Linked DNA regions of Mytilus edulis. The protein of the gene in region 1 purifies or fractionates together with the protein of each later gene. This does not show direct contact. Links are inferred from orthologs where the notes say so. Each region holds a gene or a part of one and is shown on either strand. Other genes may lie near its edges. The genes, in order: endoribonuclease Dicer-like and protein argonaute-2-like.

The links.
Region 2: the proteins of endoribonuclease Dicer-like (region 1) and protein argonaute-2-like purify together in Drosophila melanogaster (affinity purification with western blotting; 5 studies listed by BioGRID, with this or other methods). This does not show direct contact. The link is inferred for Mytilus edulis from reciprocal best matches to the Drosophila melanogaster genes Dcr-1 and AGO1.

Annotation. Positions count from the first base shown.
Region 1 is NC_092346.1:84,421,411-84,430,926, forward strand, and holds the start of endoribonuclease Dicer-like, read left to right. Parts: upstream 1-5,534; 5' UTR 5,535-5,670; intron 5,671-9,516. Other genes in the region: alpha-ketoglutarate-dependent dioxygenase alkB homolog 6-like, read right to left, coding at 5,429-5,455. UniProt on the Drosophila melanogaster protein: Endoribonuclease which functions in microRNA- (miRNA) gene silencing and, independently of its ribonuclease III activity, also acts in the short interfering RNA- (siRNA) gene silencing pathway.
Region 2 is NC_092355.1:23,866,826-23,877,224, reverse strand, and holds the start of protein argonaute-2-like, read left to right. Parts: upstream 1-6,531; 5' UTR 6,532-6,687; coding exon 6,688-6,703; intron 6,704-10,399.

The DNA.
Region 1 (9,516 bases):
ACCTGAAATAAACACATGAATTCATTTACATAAATGACATTTACTAATAAAAAGGAAGGCTAAATTAAAGGACTTATAAAAAGTTCTTGATCAGCTACTGACACGTGAAGCTCGAGCCATGGTTATTAATTGTTGATACATTGTAGTAGATATTCAATTTGTAACAACTTTTAATCAATTTTACTTACTTTAATGGGCAAAATGGACCCATGTGATAATGATATTATGAGGTAGTCCAAATAAATATGACCTCTTGAAAGGTTATTTTATTTTTTTGCTGTGAAGCCTTAAATTAATTCCTACAATAGGAAGAAGCAACAAGAAGACTAATAATGCGACAAGAAAACAATTTTAGTGTCAAGAACTCTAACAATTACCATGATTACTTATTTCAATAAATAATTATATGACAAGAATGTGTCCTCAGTACACGAATGCCCCACTCGCACTATCATTTTCTATGTTCAGTGGACCGTGAAATTCGGGTAAAATCTCTAATTTGGCATTCAAATTAAAAAGATCATATCATAGGGAACATGTGTACCAAGTTTGAAGTCAATTGGACTTCAACTTCATCAAAAACTACCTTGACCAAAAACTTTAACCTGAAGCAGGACAGACGGACGAACAGACAGACAGACGGACGGACGGACGGACAAACAGACGGACGGACGAACAGACGCACAGACCAGAAAACATAATGCCCCTCTACTATCGTAGGTGGGGCATAAAAAAATGCATTATACTGTAACTTCAGAAATTATTGTGATGTTTTTATTATTGCGAAAAATGCAACAGGGTAATCATTGCAATAATTAACCAGATGCTCCGCAGGGCGCAGCTTTATACGACCGCATAGGTTGAACCCTGAACGGTTGGGGCAAGTATGGACACAACATTCAAGCTGGATTCAGCTCTAAATTTGGATTGTGATTAAATAGTTGACACAGCATAGGTTTTGGACACAGAATGAATGGGGTCTAATGAACTTAAAATATTTTTTTTGTCTTTGAGCAATCACTATGCTGTTGAATATTAATCCTCTCAAAAAAATGTTTGAAGAAATTTTCTTTTTATTTATGAAATCTGAAATGAGAAAAATAAACCCCCCCCCCCCCCACCATTTTTTTTTCACATCCCCCTTTCCCTTTTTTCAAAACTGATCTCAATTCAAATTTCTAATGGAGTTTGCAACAATAACTACTCATTTAAATACATAATAAAATATTAAAATGTAACAAAAAGTGCTTGTTATCACTGAATGGTAAAGAGTGTTTTAATTTATCAGTTGGTAGTAAAAGTGAATATACATTGTGCATTGTATAAAACAATGATTTAAGTTGATTCAACTACTATTCTGGACAAAGAAAGATAACTCCAATCAATTGAATATTTCTTGCTATTGCACAATATTGTGCAATTTGATATTTCTTGCTATTGCGCAATACTGTGCAATTGAAAATATTTGCTATTGCACAATACTGTGCAATTGAAGATTTCTTGCTATTGCACAATACTGTGCAATTGAACATTTTTTTCTATTGCACAATACTGTGCAATTGAAGATTTCTTGCTATTGCTGAATACTGTGCAATTGAAAATTTCTTGCTATTGCACAATTTTTGATATAATAATTTTGGATCCTGATTTGAACCAACTTGAAAACTGGGCCCATTATCAAAAATCTAAGTACATGATTAAATTCAGCATATCAAAAAAGCCAAAGAATTCAATTTTTATTAAAATCAAACTTAGTTTAATTTTGGACCCTTTGGTATTTAATGTAGACCAATTTGAAAACGGGACTAAAAATTAAGAATCTACATACACAGTTAGATTTGGCATATCAAAGAACCCCAATTATTCAATTTTTGATGAAATCAAACAACTTCTCTTGAACTGAATTTTAATGTGCGTATTGATATGCGTTTACTTTTCTACATTGGTTAGAGGTATAGGGGGAGGGTTGAGATCTCACAAACATGTTTAACCCCGCCGCATTTTTGCGCCTGTCCCAAGTCAGGAGCCTCTGGCCTTTGTTAGTCTTGTATTATTTTAATTTTAGTTTCTTGTGTACAATTTGGAAATTAGTTCATTATCACTGGACTAGTATATATTTGTTTAGGGGCCAGCTGAAGGACGCCTCCGGGTGCGGGAATTTCTCGCTACATTGAAGACCTGTTGGTGACCCTCTGCTGTTGTTTTTTATTTGGTCGGGTTGTTGTCTCTTTGACACATTCCCCATTTCCATTCTCAATTTAAAGTTTAATTTTGGACCCCGATTTGGACCAACTTGAAAACTGGGCCAATAATCAAAAATCTAAGTACATTTTTAGATTCAGAATATCAAAGAACCCCAAGGATTCATTTTTTGTTAAAATCAAACTAAGTTTAATTTTGGACCCTTTGGACCTTAATGTAGACCAATTGGAAAACGGGACCAAAAATTAAGAATCTACATACACAGTTAGATCCGGCATATCAAAGAACCCCAACTATTCAATTTTTGATGAAATCAAACAAAGTTCAATTTTGGACCCTTTGGGCACCTTATTCCTAAAAACCTGTTGGGACCAAAACTCCCAAAATCAAACCCAACCTTCCTTTTATGGTCATAAACCTTGTGTTTAAATTTCAAAGATTTCTATTTACTTATACTAAAGTTATGGTGCGAAAACCAAGAATAATGCTTACTTGGGCCCCTTTTTGGCCCCTAATTCCTAAACTGTTCAGACCTCAACTCCCAAAATCAATCCCAACCTTCCTTTTGTAGTCATAAACCTTGTGTTTAAATTTCATTGATTTCTATTTACTTATACTAAAGTTATTGTGCGAAAACCAAGAATAATGCTTATTTGGGCCCTTTTTGGCCCCTAATTCCTAAACTGTTTGAACTAAAACTCCCAAAATCAATCCGAACCTTCCGTTTGTGGTCATAAACCTTGTGTCAAAATTTCATAGATTTCTATTTACTTAAACTAAAGTTATAGTGCGAAAACCAAGAAAATGCTTATTTGGGCCCTTTTTGGCCCCTAATTCCTAAAATTTTGGGACCAAAACTCCCAAAATCAATCCCAACCTTCCTTTTGTGGTTATAAACCTTGTGTTAAAATTTCATAGATTTCTATTCACTTTTACTAAAGTTAGAGTGAGAAAACTAAAAGTAATCGGACGACGCAAGACGCAAGACGCAAGACGACGCAGGATGATGACGCCAACGTGATAGCAATATACGAAGAAAAAATTTTAATTTTTGCGGTCGTATAAAAATTGCATTTTGAAATTTTTTATATGAATCAAATAGGATTTTTCTGAATATCGCAAAAATTAAAATTGCATTTTGGTCTAAAATTGCAAAATCCCAATAATGAATGCACGCAATAATTTCTAAATTTACAGTAGTAAGTAAGTACAACAAATGTAAGTTAGTAAGTAATTTTTATTGAACATTGGACTTTCTGTTTCATCAGTGAACATATACAAACATGTGTTTACACATTAGAACGAAATTATATGTGTGGTTTTTATTTAAAGTGTGTTCATTAAAAGTGATTTTCATTAAATCATGATACTGACATGACTGATGAAGAACTTAAACATTTGTTAAAACAAAGAGGGGATTGTTAAGGTTTTTATTTATCACCAAGAATATGTTTTTAAACAAGAGTGCACACACTGAAATGTCTCGCCTTCTTTAATTATCTTTGATATTATGTCCTAAATATAAAGCTTTACTACAACTATCACATAAACTTAACATGATCCAAGAAAATGAGGTCAAGGTCATATAAACCAAACTAGAAATACATGTATGTACACCTTACAATCATTCAAATTCAATACACTTTTAAATATAGTTGACCTATTGCTTATAGTTTCTACGAAACAGACTTTTAAAAGCAAGAAAAATAAATATTGAGCAATGAACCATGAAGATGAGGTCAAGGTCAGATGAACCATGCCAGGCAGACATGTACAGCTTACAATTCTTCCATACAACAAATACAGTTGACCTATTACTTACAGTTTAAGAAAAACAGACCAAAACACAAAAACTTAACAATGAACACTGAAAATGAGGTCAAGGTCAAATAACACCTGCGAGACTGACATGTACATCATAAAATAGTTCCATACACCAAATATAGTTGACCTATTGCATATACATTTAGTATTAGAAAAATCAAGACCAAAACTCAAAAACTTAACTTTGACCACTGAACCATGAAAATAAGGTCAAGGTCAGATGACACCTGCTAGCTAGAAATAAACACATTACAATCATTCAATACACCAAATATAGTAGACCTATTGCATACAGTATAAGAAAAATAGACCAAAACAAAAACTTAACTATAACCACTGAACCTTAAAAATGAGGTCAAGGTCAGATGACTCTTGCCGGTTGGACATGTACACCTTACAGTCTACCCATAAATGATAAAATCGAATATATTAGACCTCTTACTTATAGTATCTGAGATATGGACTTCACCACCAAAACTTCACCTTGTTCACCGATCCATGAAATGAGGTCGAGGTGAAGTGAAAACTGTCTGACTGACATGAGGACCTTGCAAGGTATGCACATACCGAACATAGTTATCCTTTTACTCATAATAAGAGAGAAATAAACGTTACAAAAAATCGTAACTTTTTTTTTCAAGTAGTCACTGAACCATGAAAATGAGGTCAAGGACAATTCACATGTGACAGACAGAAACTCTGTAACATGAGGCATCTATATACAAAGTATGAAGCATCCAGGTCTTCCACCTTCTAAAATATAAAGCTTTTAAGAAGTTAGCTACCGCTGCTGCCGTAGTAGCCTCCGCCGCCTGATCACTATCCCTAAGTCAAGCTTTCTGCCATAAAAGTCGTAGGCTTGACAAAAATGTGATACTGTTAAAACAACAAATAATCAACTATATTAGACCACTATCCAGGTCGTTGTATTTCCGCAAAAAAAAAACCATTGCCAGTTTGGTTTAGGTGAACATCATTCATGTGTTCAAGGGCATTATCCCTTCCTTCCCATATTGAGGGAGCATTTGAAAAAAAATGATATAATGCTGTATTGGACTTTTGCATTTATTCAGCAAATTAAATAAATTCTAGTAATTGATACTCTGGCTGAGAACTGAAATTATAGTCGATATTTTGTTGTTTTAACATTATCCAATTTTTATTTAGACAGTATAGCTAAATTTTTATTTTTTAATTTTTTTAATTAAATTTTTAATTTTTTATTTAATGTCAATGCCAAATATTATGGCAATGGCAAAATTTTGACTTTATGATAAAAAAAAATCCCTCAAAATTGAAACCTTTTTTTATTTTATGTTTAGAAATTAAGATCAAAACCTTATTTTTTAAGAAACATCAAGTAGCTGGCCTGTGGCTAAATTATCAAAAAATAGATAATTACTTCTGTCACAAGATTCTTTGTATCCATCTCCTCAGTGGGTTTTGGCTGTTAGAATTTCTGTAAATATGATAAGTCAAGGATTTTCATTGGCTTATTTTAGAAATCTGTCCAATTAAAATCACTCTTTCACTTTGACGATTTTCCGGCAAATGAAGAAACAAATGTGAAAACATTTCAAAAATAAGCATCTGCAATTTATGATTGTGATGCGGACGTAGGCGCATTCCCATCACTATATAAAGGTCTTTATAAGAAAATATGTATTTTCTTTTTTTTGGCAAAATTTAAACATTGCATGCAGTAAATAATTTAAGAAAAAAAAGAAAAAAATGCCCCCCCCCTTTTTTATCCAAATATTGGTTTTATGATTATCCAGATCATTAAACAACAAAAATTATTAGAAATTTAAGATTAGGATACTACCTAAGAAATTACTCAAACAAAATCAATTTAAATATAGATCCCAAGTGTGAATGGGGTCAATTACTGAATTACTTCAATTAGAAACTGGGGGACATTATTTACTATTTTGTGAAAATTATGAAGAGGCTAGACAGAAACAGAAAACTTATACATGAGATTTTCTTTAACACGGATCGTTTCATTTTGATTTAGAACTTTTATTGTTAACCCTTTCAACGCTACACAAAAAAATAGAAAAATGGCTGCTGCTGCTGCATTTTTTTTTAGTACATTCATTAGAACAGTATTTTCCTTTTCAGACTGCTGTATCTTTTTTATTATATGAGATACAGAGAAAGTTATTGCATGAAAAATGCTCAGGAGAGCATGAACTGTAATGTTAGGCAATTATTTTACTGAAATTTTTATCAGGTTACCTGCGTTTTCAGGTAATTAACAGGTAAAAGGTGTAATTTATTACATTTGTGTTGAATTTTGAATAAAAACTACTTTTAGTCTTCATTTATTTTGTTGTTTTATCTGCCATATTGTAAAGAAGACACCAGTTGCCCGATTCCGTAGCGTATTGTACCATACATAACGTTTTATGTAATCGTGGCACAAATAAATAGCTCCGTCCTAAAAAATTTCAGTCAACCTCCGTTTCCCCCCCTTTTTCTACGTCTCGTAATGATCTATCAAATCATATTTCCCACACGAATTTTATGTAATAAACACAATGAGATAACAAGAAACCTTTTAACTAATCCTCGTTGTAAGTTTCGCCAAGGAAATGCTGAAATTTTTCCATATTTACAGCTTCGTTTCCGATTTCCGCCATTTGCATTTGTCAAAATATTTGTTTTTATTTTCCTTCTATTTTCCTTCTACTGCATGATTTTACTATAAAAATTGTCGGGATTTCAAGCGCAAATGAGACCTTGCATATCCTAGATTCAAACGAGGAAAAATTAGAGAGAACCCGAATGAAAACCGAATGGTTTAAGAGTCCTTATGAAAAATCCTTTTTCATCGCGGCATATGCCGCGAATAGCAGTGGCGAACGGCGTACGTCATCGCGGCATATGCCGTGTATAGCGTTGAAAGGGTTAATAGAAAAAAAACAACAACTACTCCGTCTCTAATGAAACACTAATATCAGTCATGCGATTATAGGGTGACTTTATTTGTGAGATGCGCTGTTTTGATAAAGAAACATTTTTGTCGAGCCTTCGACTTTAGTCGAAAAAGCGAGACATAGCGATCCTTCATTCCGTCAGCGTCGTCGTCGTCATCGGCGGCGTCCACATATATTCACTCTGTGGTTAAAGTTTTTGAAATTTTAATAACTTTCTTAAACTATCCTTGAATTGTATGAAACTTGGACAGAAGCTTGTTTATGTTCATAAGATAGTACCCAGAAGTAAATTTTGTAAAAATAAAATTCCATTTTTTCCGTATTTTACTTATAAATGGACTTAGTTTTTTCTGCCAAACATTACATTCACTCTGTTAATGTCTGTGGTTAAAGTTTTAAAATTTTTAATAACTTTCTTAAACTATCCTGGAAATGTACAAAACTTGGCCAGAAGCTTGTTTATGATCAGGATATAGTATCCAGAAGTAAATTTTGTAAAAATAAAATTCCATTTTTTCCGTATTTTTCTTATAAATGGACTTAGTTTTTTCTGCCAGGAAACATTAAATTCACTCTGGTTAAAGTTTTTAAAATTTTAATAACTTTCTTAAACTATCCTGGAATTGTAAGAAACTTGGCCAGAAGCTTGTTTATGATCAGAAGATAGTATCCAGAAGTAAATTTTGTAAAAATAAAATTCCCTTTTTCCCGTATTTTACTTATAGATGGACTTAGTTTTAAACATTTTTAAGTTTCTTAAACTAGCCTGGATTTTTACCAAACTTGGATAGAAGCTTCTGACAATCAAAAGATAGTATTGAGAGGAATAATTTTATTGATTTTTTTCATCATTTTTGATGAGTGTGTGATTAACAGCAAAAGTAGGCGAGACACTGGGTTCCGCGGAATTGTCTTTTTATGTTAAATATATTTTTTTAGCAAACAAGCTTTTGATTTACCTAAACACTTAAATTATTTAATAGTACTTTATTATATTAGATAAATGATAAACTGTCAATTGTATACTTTTATCATATTCAGAAAATACCATACCTGCCAACCCTCCCGTTTTGAGCGGGAGACTCCCACTCAGATGGCGAAAATCGGGAAATCTCCCGCTTGCCGATACCCTCCCGCTGTCATAGCTGTGGGAGATAGATCTCCCTCTTTGAAAGTTTAAGAGGTTGGCAGGTATGGAAAATACTATTGTTAATAAAATTTTCAATGCTTCAATGTTCTAGAACTCCTACATGTATAATGACAAAACTAAAGATATTTGTACAGAATTTATGATAGTCATATATCTTTTCAGTTGTTGTTATAAATAGTTGTTTAAACAAAGAATTTATAATCAGTGCTTGCAAAATAACAGGAATCTTTTAAACTTAGTTTATGAAAGTTTCTTTCATGTACACAATGAATCAAAGACATTCTTTAATCATTGAAAGGGGAAGACATCTTTATATTCCAAGAAAAAATACTTAAAGGTACTGTCCAATCTGTAGTATTCCTTCATTCTCTACTGTACATAATAGTGGAATCGACGTCCAAATCTGACGTTACATTCTCAAATCAATGGCCAATATTTTGATTATCTAATGGCAATGAATGGACATCCAATGTGACGTTGCATATTGCCAAAACCTCAAATTTATTGTAGTCATCTTTAATCGATGTCCCAAAATCATTTATAATACTGACTGTAAATTCAGAAATTATTGCCTGCATTTATTATTGCGATTTTGTCATTTTAGACTTGAATGTGATTTTAATTTTTACAATTTTGAGAAAAATCCTGTTTAATTCATATGAAATATTTCAAAATGCGAGTTTAAAATATCGCGTTTACAACTATGTCGCAATTTTTCGCAATAATAAAAACCTTGCATTAATTTCTGAATTTACAGTAAATAATAAATTACTGGACTTACACTTATACCTGTACATGTTTTGTACACGTCTTATGACAACTATAAATTTTCAAACATTTATACATACTTTCCAATATCGAATTTTTTCAACAAGAAATAGGTAACATGCATTTAAATATTTATCTTGATTAAAAGTTAATCCAATTGATGTACATAATACTGGGTAGTGTGTCAATCATATTAAAAAATGACATGCATGTAGTCACTCATAATTCTTAATAGAATGGCGCTTGTATATTTTTTAGCAGTTAAGCTAATGAAATTTTACTGTTAATGTTATATAAGTGGTGAGACTTTGATAAAATATTGAATCTAGAATCTTTTAAATCAATTAGAAAGCAACCAAACAACAAAGGAAACCAATGACATCTACATGTAGGAGCATTATTTAGTCTTCCACAATTGACAAAATAAAGAAGTACAGCAAATGGTTTTGAGAGTATTATAATTCGGCATCTGTAAGATATTTTCAACAAATTTCTGAGTTTTACCCCCTGTACTGAAAATATACTCAAGAAATCTGCATTATGTTTTTATGTTGTGCTGTTACACCTCTGTTCTAGATTAAGTGCACACACACATGTTTAAAACCGACACATTCTCTATGTTCCTGTAGT
Region 2 (10,399 bases), on another chromosome or scaffold:
TTTTCTTCGGAGTGCGTTTTTTTGTTTTGCTTGTTATTTTACTTGTTGGTAGGACTAAGAAACCCTTTGCTGATGTAGTACTAGTAAAACTTAGACTTTTGAATAATTAAATATTTTAAAAACAGTACATTAACAAGAAATTAGCAAATCAATGATAGTTATGGTCAACACAAAAGTGCTGACTACTTGGCTGGTGTTTCCGTCGAGATGTTCACCAGCAGTGTAATCGACTCAGTGTTTGTAAAAACTAATTTAAGATATACATTCGTACGTCGTACAATTTTTCCGTTTACATAAGGCAAATCAGTAGCGCTCGATTCAAAACAATTGAAAGGCTAAATTAAAGACATAGTTGCAGAGAATCAAAACAAAAGATTCTCAAAGTTGTATTAACTACGGCAAACACAACCTATAGCTACATCTGGCGGTAGACAAATCACTAAATATTCTACATATATACATGTAAATTGAAATAGTTCAGAAAGGGAAGGAAACAAAACAACAACAAAAAGGAAAGCGTGTATCAAATCTGTAACGTCATCAGGAAAATAAGTATATATATTGTATGTCTCACTGATCTGTCAAATATTAAAAGACGTCTCCACAAAACCATGCCCCATTTGGAAAAGATCTTAAAAAAGAGGGAAAAGAAGCCAAGGAGCACTTGAAACTCATAAGTCGATATAAAATGTTAACGTCTTGACAAAACAAAGAAAATTGACGACGACGAGAAGACAAATAAATTCATCAAACACTACAAAAGAGACACTGAGTAACATCGAACCCAACCTTAACTATAGGGTCGATCACAAGTGCCCTGGATTAGACTTGCTACAATTCCCTTTCTAATATTTCTCTCTTACTAATTGATATGTTTACTGATAAGTGCCAGCCTACTGATTGCCCTTGGAGAAAGGGACTTGTATAATAACATTTTATACCGACCTGCAGATGTCAGTATAATTGTAATCTCCTAGTTATAGCAGTAAAATTATTAAAGGGGCAAAATTGAAAAAAATAATAATAATTAGGAAGGGACATGTAGCAAGTCTAGCCCTGGATATGCAGCAGATCATGTCCAATTTACGATACCCGTCGTGTTTTTCTTGTTAAAATATAATTAGGGGAATGCACAGAGATGCCTTTTGATTGATTTATTTGTCGTTTGGTTGTTTATTATTGCCGCATAAACCCCTCATCTCCTTTTATAAACACCATAATACATTACTCATGTACTCAATTGTAGTATTTCGTTTATGATTATAATAATAACCCTCTGATCTTGCTTAATTTTATGCGTCCAAAGAACTTTTCATGATCATCTTTTGTCGTCTTCTCTGTAAAATCTATGTGCATTTCTAACTGTCCTCCTCATCCTCGATAGGTATTGTTTAATTTTCGTAGTGTATCTTCATATCTAGTTTATTGCATAGAAGATGTGGTATGATTGCTAATGAGACAACTCTCCATGCACAAAAGACAAAATGACAAAGAAATAAAAACTATACGTCATCATCATGGTACGGTCTTCAACAACGAATAAAACTCTTGTCGCATATAGTCAGCAATATAAGTCCCAAAGTATCAAATGTAAAAGAATTCAAACGAGGGCCCGATGTATGTTCTATGATGAATGAAAAAAAATATGATATACATCAACAATCGACAACCACTGAATTACACTGACTTTGGACAGGCACATACAGAATGAGGCGGGGTCAAACTAGTTTGAAATCCTAATCCTCCCCATAACCAGGGACAGAAGTGTAACAGTACACCATAAAAACAAACTATTTTCACATCTTGAATGAATGTGGTCTTTTATCTGGGCTTAATCGGTTGTCATATCTGTTATTTCTTTGCTAAAGTACCGACCAATTTTAGAACGAGTAAAACTGTTCCTATCGCATACAAGATCTCAACAAAATTGCATATGAGGATCTTGCATTTGGTCCTTAATTTTTTTTACTATAAAAATGTATGTAATTAGATGATTTCTGTATTCAAAGGTTTGAACCAAGCCTGCACATTTCTACAATCTTTTTGGTACGTGCAGAATCTTCGCGATTCGCGATTTCATAGATTCCAAACAACCAACAGCAGCTTAAACAGTTTAAAAAGCTGACAAAAAATCTTTGGACTCTTTCTTTAATTCAGTAATGAACATAGTTGATATACGTATTCAACATTTTAAAGAACATTTTATTATTAAAAATAACCACAATAAACATATTTCTTGTATCAAACATAGACTAAAAGAACTAGCCAAGGAATTTGTTTTTGTCCCGGCCGATAAAGCTGCTAATAATATTATTATTGTTTGACGTAAATTTTACATTGAGGTTCTGAAAAAAGAAATTACCAATTCACCAACATTCCAACTGACTCCATTTTCAGAAATCGACATCTGTAACAAACATAAACTTTTAGCTACCGCTTTACAAGCAGAACCGAATACAATGAAAGTCCCTACTATGTATTGGCTTCCGAAGCTACACAAAACACCTTACAAATATAGATTTATTTCGTCTTCAAGCCATTGTTCCACTACTAAATCGTCTATTCTTCTTACCAGTACACTTGGTACAATCAAAAACCTGATTATAAATTGTTCAAATAAGGCCTTCGAAAATAGTGGAATTAATTACTTTTGGAGTGTCAAGAACTCGTTGGAAGTACTTGATAAATTGCATGCTTTTATATTGGTGATTTTGAATCTGTTCAAAGTTTTGATTTTTCTACCCTGTATACCACATTGCCTCACATTCTCATTAAGAAAAAAATCACCCATCTAATTAAATGGGCATTTAAAAAGTCAGAATGCGAATATATATGTTCAATCTCTTTTAGGTCATTTTTTAGTAGCAATAAAAAAAACTATGTCAATTTGACATGCTTTGATACTATATATGCCCTTGAATTTTTACTAGATAACATTTTTGTTCGCTTTGGAGATTCCGTATATCGTCAGGTTATTGGAATTCCAATGGGGACTAACTGTGCACCACTTATTGCGGACCTGTTTTTGTATTGTTATGAGTTACAATTTATGACAAAAATCAGCAAAGACCCATCGAAACAGCATCTCATAAACAAATTTAATAATACTTTTAGATATTTGGATGACATTTTGGCTCTCAATAATGACGACTTCAGTATATATACTAAAGAAAGTTATCCTGTTGAACTTACTTTAAATAAAGCTAAAACTAACAATGACCACTGCCCTTTCCTCGATCTTGATATCTATATCACTAACGGAAAGCTTAATACTAAAATTTATGATAAAAGAGATGATTTTTCATTTCCTATAGTTAATTATCTATTTTTAGATGGTGACGTTCCATTGTCACCATCTTACGGTGTTTATATATCTCAACTTGTACGATTCGCTCGTGTATGTAACAATGTTTTAGATTTTAACGAGAGAAATTTGTGTATTACTGAAAAATTATTACACCAGGGTTTTCGATATCACAAACTAGTCAAAACATTTACTAAATTTTATCATCGGTGTAAGGACATCATTCGTAAATATAGCTCAACATGCAGACTTCTTATACGTTCAGGTATTTCACATCCAATTTTTTATGGAAATATTCTTTATAAAGCACAAAAATGTCAGTATTCACCTCAGAATCTAACAAAACCTTTAAATAGACTTATCAAGAAGGGATATAGTTACGATACTGTTGTCAGGTCACTAAAGATTGCTTATTTTGGCGTTAATATTGATTCACTTATAAGGTCTTTGCATCGGAACTAAACACATTTATTAAAAAAACCAGTTGTTGGCATGACACGGGTTATGTTCTTCTCATATATGTTATGATGGTATGATACTAAACCTCTAACGGGGAGGATTGTGCCTGATATTCATATGATGAAATCATAATCTTTCAATCAGTTTAATTGAAGTCTGGAGCTGGCATGTCAGTTAACTGCTAGTAGTCTGTTGTTATTTATGTATTATTGTCATTTTGTTTATTTTCTTTGGTTACATCTTCTGACATCAGACTCGGACTTCTCTTGAATTGAATTTTAAATGTGCGTATTGTTATGCATTTACTTTTCTACATTGGCTAGAGGTATAGGGGGAGGGTTGAGATCTCATAAACATGTTTAACCCCGCCGCATTTTTGCGCCTGTCCCAAGGAGCCTCTGGCCTTTGTTAGTCTAGTATTTTTTTAATTTTAGTTTCTTGTGTACAATTCGGAAATTAGTATGGCGTTCATTATCACTGAACTAGTATATATTTGTTTAGGGGCCAGTGAAGGACGCCTCCGGGTGCGGGAATGTCTCGCTACATTGAAGACCTGTTAGTGACCTTCTGCTGTTGTTTTTTCAATGGTCGGGTTGTTGTCTCTTTGACACATTCCCCATTTCCATTCTCAATTTTACAATTTGAAACTAGCCTCATTAATATAACAAAACAATTTACAAAACACAAGTTGGTAGTTCTCCATGGTTTGGTTGTGTGAACTTCCATTAATAAAAGTGATTTTTAAAAATAGGTCTGATATCAGTTTAGACAGCATAGGTTGATGCATCTTGATTTTGTTCTCAATCGTACGGGGAATAGTTTCGTAAGTTTTGTTCATTTGTAAAGCTCATTCAATATTTTTTTTTAAAACCGTGTGTTATGATTGCCAATGAGACAACTCTCCACAAGAGACCAATTGACACAGCAATTTACAACTTTAGGTCACCGTACGGCCTTCAACAATGAGCAAACCCCATACCGCATAGTTAGCTATAAAATGCCCCGAAATGACAAATTTAAAACAATTTATACCAGAAAACTAACGGCCTAATTTATGCACAAAAAATGAACGAAAAACAAATAAATAACACATCAACAAACGACAACCACTGAATAACAGGCTCCTGACTTGGGACAGGCACATACATACAGAATGTGGTGGGGTTTAAACATGTTAGCGGGATCCCAATCCTCCCCTAACCCGGGACAGTGGTATAACAGTACAACATAGGAACGAACTATAAAAATCAGTTGAAAACATCTTAACTCATCAGATAGATACAAATAGAAATACATCTAACAAAAACACAGAGTTAGTGGCGTTTTATTAAAAATCTCAAAGATATTTTTAATACCGATTTTTTTCAAAAATTTAGTGCTTTCGGTGATTCTATTGATTTTCTTATTTCCTATTTGAGTCCAATTTATTGTGTGGATTTAAATAATCAGTAGTAATCGCTTGGAATAGGCGCAACCGTTCTCTGTGCGTTAACTGTTGCGACGGATAAGTTCTGTCCTGATCCACTATTTCCTTATTTTTTCGGTAATGGTATAAATGCTCGCCTTTCATTCCCATCGAACCACTTTGCAGAACCTACATATCATTGAATGCATTGTTAGTCTTGTCTCGTCTATGAAATAGTTGCCACTGGATGTTGAACAACACCAACCAATTAATCATATATTTGCCATTAAAACGGAAATGGATTTCGTATTTGGTGCTGTCAGTTTAGCATACATTCTATTAGTGTTCAATACGAAAAAAATACAAGGCTATGTACCGCGTCAGATTACCATTCCGACCATGCGAGGGCTTCATCGCCACTGAGTCGCGGACGGTTAATAAAAACATAGATAAGAAAATTTCCATTGCAACAACTGTTTTTGAGATGGGTTTCCAGTGGCATGTTGCCAAATACAACAAATGAGCTATGTCACAGATTTTTGTAAAATTAGGCATACAACTTTGGCTCGTTTAACTATAACTGAAAATAGAAAAAAATAATTAATGCATTCATCTCTTTCGTTTTGGAATCAATATTGATAAATATTAATATTGAATTAGTTCTCTATAAAACTCGATGATGCACATCATTTTCTGGGTTTATAAAATAATATATAACGTTGAAACTTGATATAGAAATACAAAATGCCTACTGTAGTGTCTTTTTCTAAGACTCGTCGTGACGATTTTTATAATTCTCAGACTGAATTTAAAGTACTTTTACGCTGGATTTCTATTACATATGATAGTAGTCACAGATCTGTAGCTGAGACACTTGTCTGTGAATATCATGCTACATGTAGTTAGTGTAATAGACATCTGGATTTATCTTTATTTTGGCAATGACTTTTTTTTTGGGGGGGGGGGGGGGGGGGGTAATTCATTTTTGTATTCTTTAAGTTTGTATGCCACTCATTTTCTAAATAATAATTTTAATTATTTATACTTTTTTACCATTGTTATCTTTTTACATATTTTAGAATGTCAGATAATATTCTATATATATACTTTTGAGGTCCATGTGAATTAAGTCTCCCGAGTGATTCTATCCCTTGTATTTTTGCTTGCTCAAGATTTTTGCCCCTAATCTCTATTCTCAGTGTAAATCAAGCAATCAATCGATGAACCGTGAAAATGTCCAAAGATGTACATGTAAAATAAAATATAATGATCTGTAATAATAATGATCAATAATGGTTAATATCTAAAATAAGCAATTGAAAACTCTTCGTTTATTTTTCTCACCCGAAAAGGGGAGACAACAAAACTAATCAATTTATTCTCACCAGATGGCGTAATTTTTTTACTACGGCAGCCATTTTCTTTCGGAAACAGCGAGTGAAGAGTCGCCAGATAGAAAATAACTTTTCATAAAGCCTTTTAGGCTTTGAATAGTATCGAGAATTATACCAATGCCAAAATGTTTCCAATTCCAGGTACCACAATTTGTTCCGTGAAATGAACTGTGTAACGTTTAGCAATCAAAGAACTTTGCCCCACGCCATTTTAAAAAACACGAATTATTATGTTCTTTTGTTATGAACATGTTGATTTTTGTTGAAATTAAAAAGGTCAATTAAGGATTTTTAAAATGTTTGATAATTTGCTCTCGTAAAGATGACGTTTTATGATTGTCAGGTCGAAAAAGCCACTAAACAAGAGTTCAAGGCTGTTTTTTTTCTGATTTTAAGAACGTTTCTATCCTGTGTTTATCAGATTTATAAAAGAAGTAAATCAACATGATCAAAGAGGCTACTGTTCTGTTTGATAAGCAAAATCACAGCATGGTGTTACCCCTGTCATTCTAATGTCCAACCCACATATTAACTGTAACAGTAAAGGAAATGTATTAAGAAGATCCTGTTCTGAAGATTTGTATATTATTCTACGCTCGCATAATTTGAACCTGTTTTATGTGTATGGTAAGGGTTAGGGCTAGTCCAAATAATTATGACGTATGGCAAGGCTATTTTTATTTATTTGTGGGACACCTTCCTAAGGCGTCATAATACTGAAGCCATTTTTTACGTCTGGAGTTTGAGAGCAAATTTTGAGACCTTTTTTTGACATGAAATTTTCATTGCTGGTTCAATTTTTTTTACGGTATTACAAAGTCCTACCTTTTTTGTGCTTATTGAATATTTGATATAGAATATTTCCAGAAATATCCATAAGAAATGATAAAATAAGATACGATTCCATTTGAAGTGGGCAAGTATTTATTTTGTTTCAAAGAAATTTTCCACAATTACCGAAGAAACGTCACTTCCGGTGAATATAAAATATTAAAATCGGTAAAATTTGGCAGACCCGAATTTCCGGAGAATGTAAATCGAACGTTCCAGAAATTTCTGGTCCATTAAATTTTACCGATTTTGATATTATGACAAGCGAAAGCAACAGTTGTTTTTCCTTCAAATCAGAAAAAATCAAAAATATCTTTGAACTCTTGCGAACAGTCTTTTCTAAATCTGCTACCTGTTCTGATCAGCATATCGGCTGAATGTTGTTTTTTATGAAAATATAAGAATTGTTCGTTGTTGGTCTGAAATAATATGTCAGTTCTTACCAACTATTTATTCTGGGTTTTATTTTCAAGGATCCTGGTGTGCTTTTGATAAATGTCTTGCTTTTTAATACAATATTCTTTAAGGTTCATCTGAAGGAATTGAAAAATATGGCTGTTTTCACATCCACAAATTTACTATTAGTACAGACAAACTAATGCATCTAGGAAAGTTTTAAGACATGGCGGGACCTACATGTAGGTATATAAAAGTTATATGAAGTGTATGTTACAGAAAATTAATGAATATTAAACCTGGATTTTGACGTGCATTTTTTTCAAGTCTGCATAAGATAGCAAAATAAACAAACACACAAGTTTCATTTGATACATTCCACTCAGTTACACAGTTTAAATCACCTATTGTTTAGTAAATGTTTACAGGTGTCTATTGTCCATCTGTTGTCCATTTAAATCAATTACTCACAACATCAATTATCTGAGGGTAGCTTCTCAAACGTTTTCCCAACTTAGTTATTTTTGCACCTTCTGCATGAATGAAAAAAAAAAAGAAAAGGCAAAATCCAGAAAAGTTTATAATTTTCTGAAACATAAAATGCATCTAAAATTAATTTGTCTAGGTCCAGCCCTGCCGATTTTCGCAGGTGCACAGGTTTTTCTGTACTCGGAGTATAAGTGTTGGTGTAAATACGTCCATGTTAGCCAAAAGGTTATGATGAACCTAAAGAGGAGTCTGATACCTGGAAAAAAAGCTAATCAATATTTATTATCATTGTTACATGAACTGATTTTTCCTTTAAAGATTAAATGCAAATTTAAAGAATTAGTCTTTTAAATTACTAATGTTATTAACATGAATATACATGTGAATAAAAAAAAAATCAGAAATTTGAAGTGATCTACTACATGTACAAATGTAGGATATTCAGTTTGGATGTAAACAGTTTTTAAAAAAAATTCTTTGTGATAAGAATTACTGTAAAATGAAAAAAAAAATGTATGGTTCCAGTTACCAGACTTATAAAAAAGAAGATGTGGTATGATTGCCAATGAGACAACTATCCACAAAAGACCAAAATGACACAGACATTAACAACTATAAGCAGTGTTCCAGCTAGGCCGTTTTCAGAGGGCGCGGCGCCCGCCCTTTTCCGAGTGGCGCCCTGTGCCCTTTTTACAGTTTCCTGGGCGCCCTGCCTTTTTTGAAGATCGATTGCATATTAATTTGCGTATTGATATGATACGCTAATTACTAAATTTTACCTGGGGAAAAGATTATGACTTTGTTTACCACCCCAAGCTAATCAATGGTTACAACTGGTGTCATAATCTGTTGTTATAGGTAATCCGTTTATCGGATGGGTCATTAATGATCATCAACATTAATTCGTTCAAATAGAATCGGTCAGTCGGCAATTATCTTTGAAGAAATGTGCATACAACAACTTGGGCACAATTTGCGATGTTTACCGTAGTTTCATGGAAGAAACGTAATGACAGAAAGTTGGAAAACCATTATAAACTCGTTGAAGACATTGTTTTACTGGTTTTCTGTAAAATAAACAGAAAATTCAGACGTATTTGTCATTGACTGCCTTCATTTTTGATACGAAAATAACAAAAAATCGGCCGCCATATTGTGATCATATTTACATCATATTTACGTACTGTTTATAATCCTCCAAAGAGGGAGCACACCCGAATAAAGAAAGATAACTCAATCTGATTTTTTTCCTAGCATTGAGTAACCCATTTACATATTCTAAAATGTGTCTCCATACTTCTTGCTTAAGAATATATATGTTTAGGTATTTATTTTGAGTTATGGGAAAAGTTAAAGAGGGTCTTAGTAGCAGTGTTGGTAGGGTGCCTTGGTCATCTTTTTCTGTATTCTTTACTTTACTATTTTTCACTGTTGCTTTATATCCTAAAATTGTGAATTTACTGAGCACAGCTGTTTTGTGCTGTATTGCCATCAAGCACAGCAGGGGTAGAAAGGTGAAACTGGTAAAATGTGGTAGACCATAGAAACAGTATGAAACAGATCTCCTTTCAAAACATACTGCATATAAAGTTCAACTGTGCCAAGCAATGATAAAAAAAACTTGTGTGACAAGCTGCTTGACAAGTTTTTCAGCCTTAAAAGTAGAAAGATAGAGTTCTATATGGGCTAAAGATGTTGTTCTTGTATAACCTGTGATTCAACGAATAAACACAAATGTTTGATTAACATCTTTTATTAAAATATGCCCTTTTCATATTATCATATCGCGCGTTAAATGCCCTTTTTCAGGATTGGCACCCTGCCCTTTTGAAAACCTAGCTGGAACACTGTATAAGTCACTGTAAGGCCTTCAACAAAGAGCAAAGCTCATACCGCATAGTCAGCTATAAAAGGCCCCGTTGCCCTAGTTTATAGTACCTTTGTTCTTTTTCTTAAAAAAGTAATTTTGAACAATCCCACTCTCATGATTCTGTGAAATGTGATTTCAATCATTAAATTGAATGACATCATCTGAATTTCAAATAGAAGTATCCACTACGGTTTATAATGTAACCAATTCTGAACAGACTTAACAATATTAGCTTTACAATTAAAGTGCCT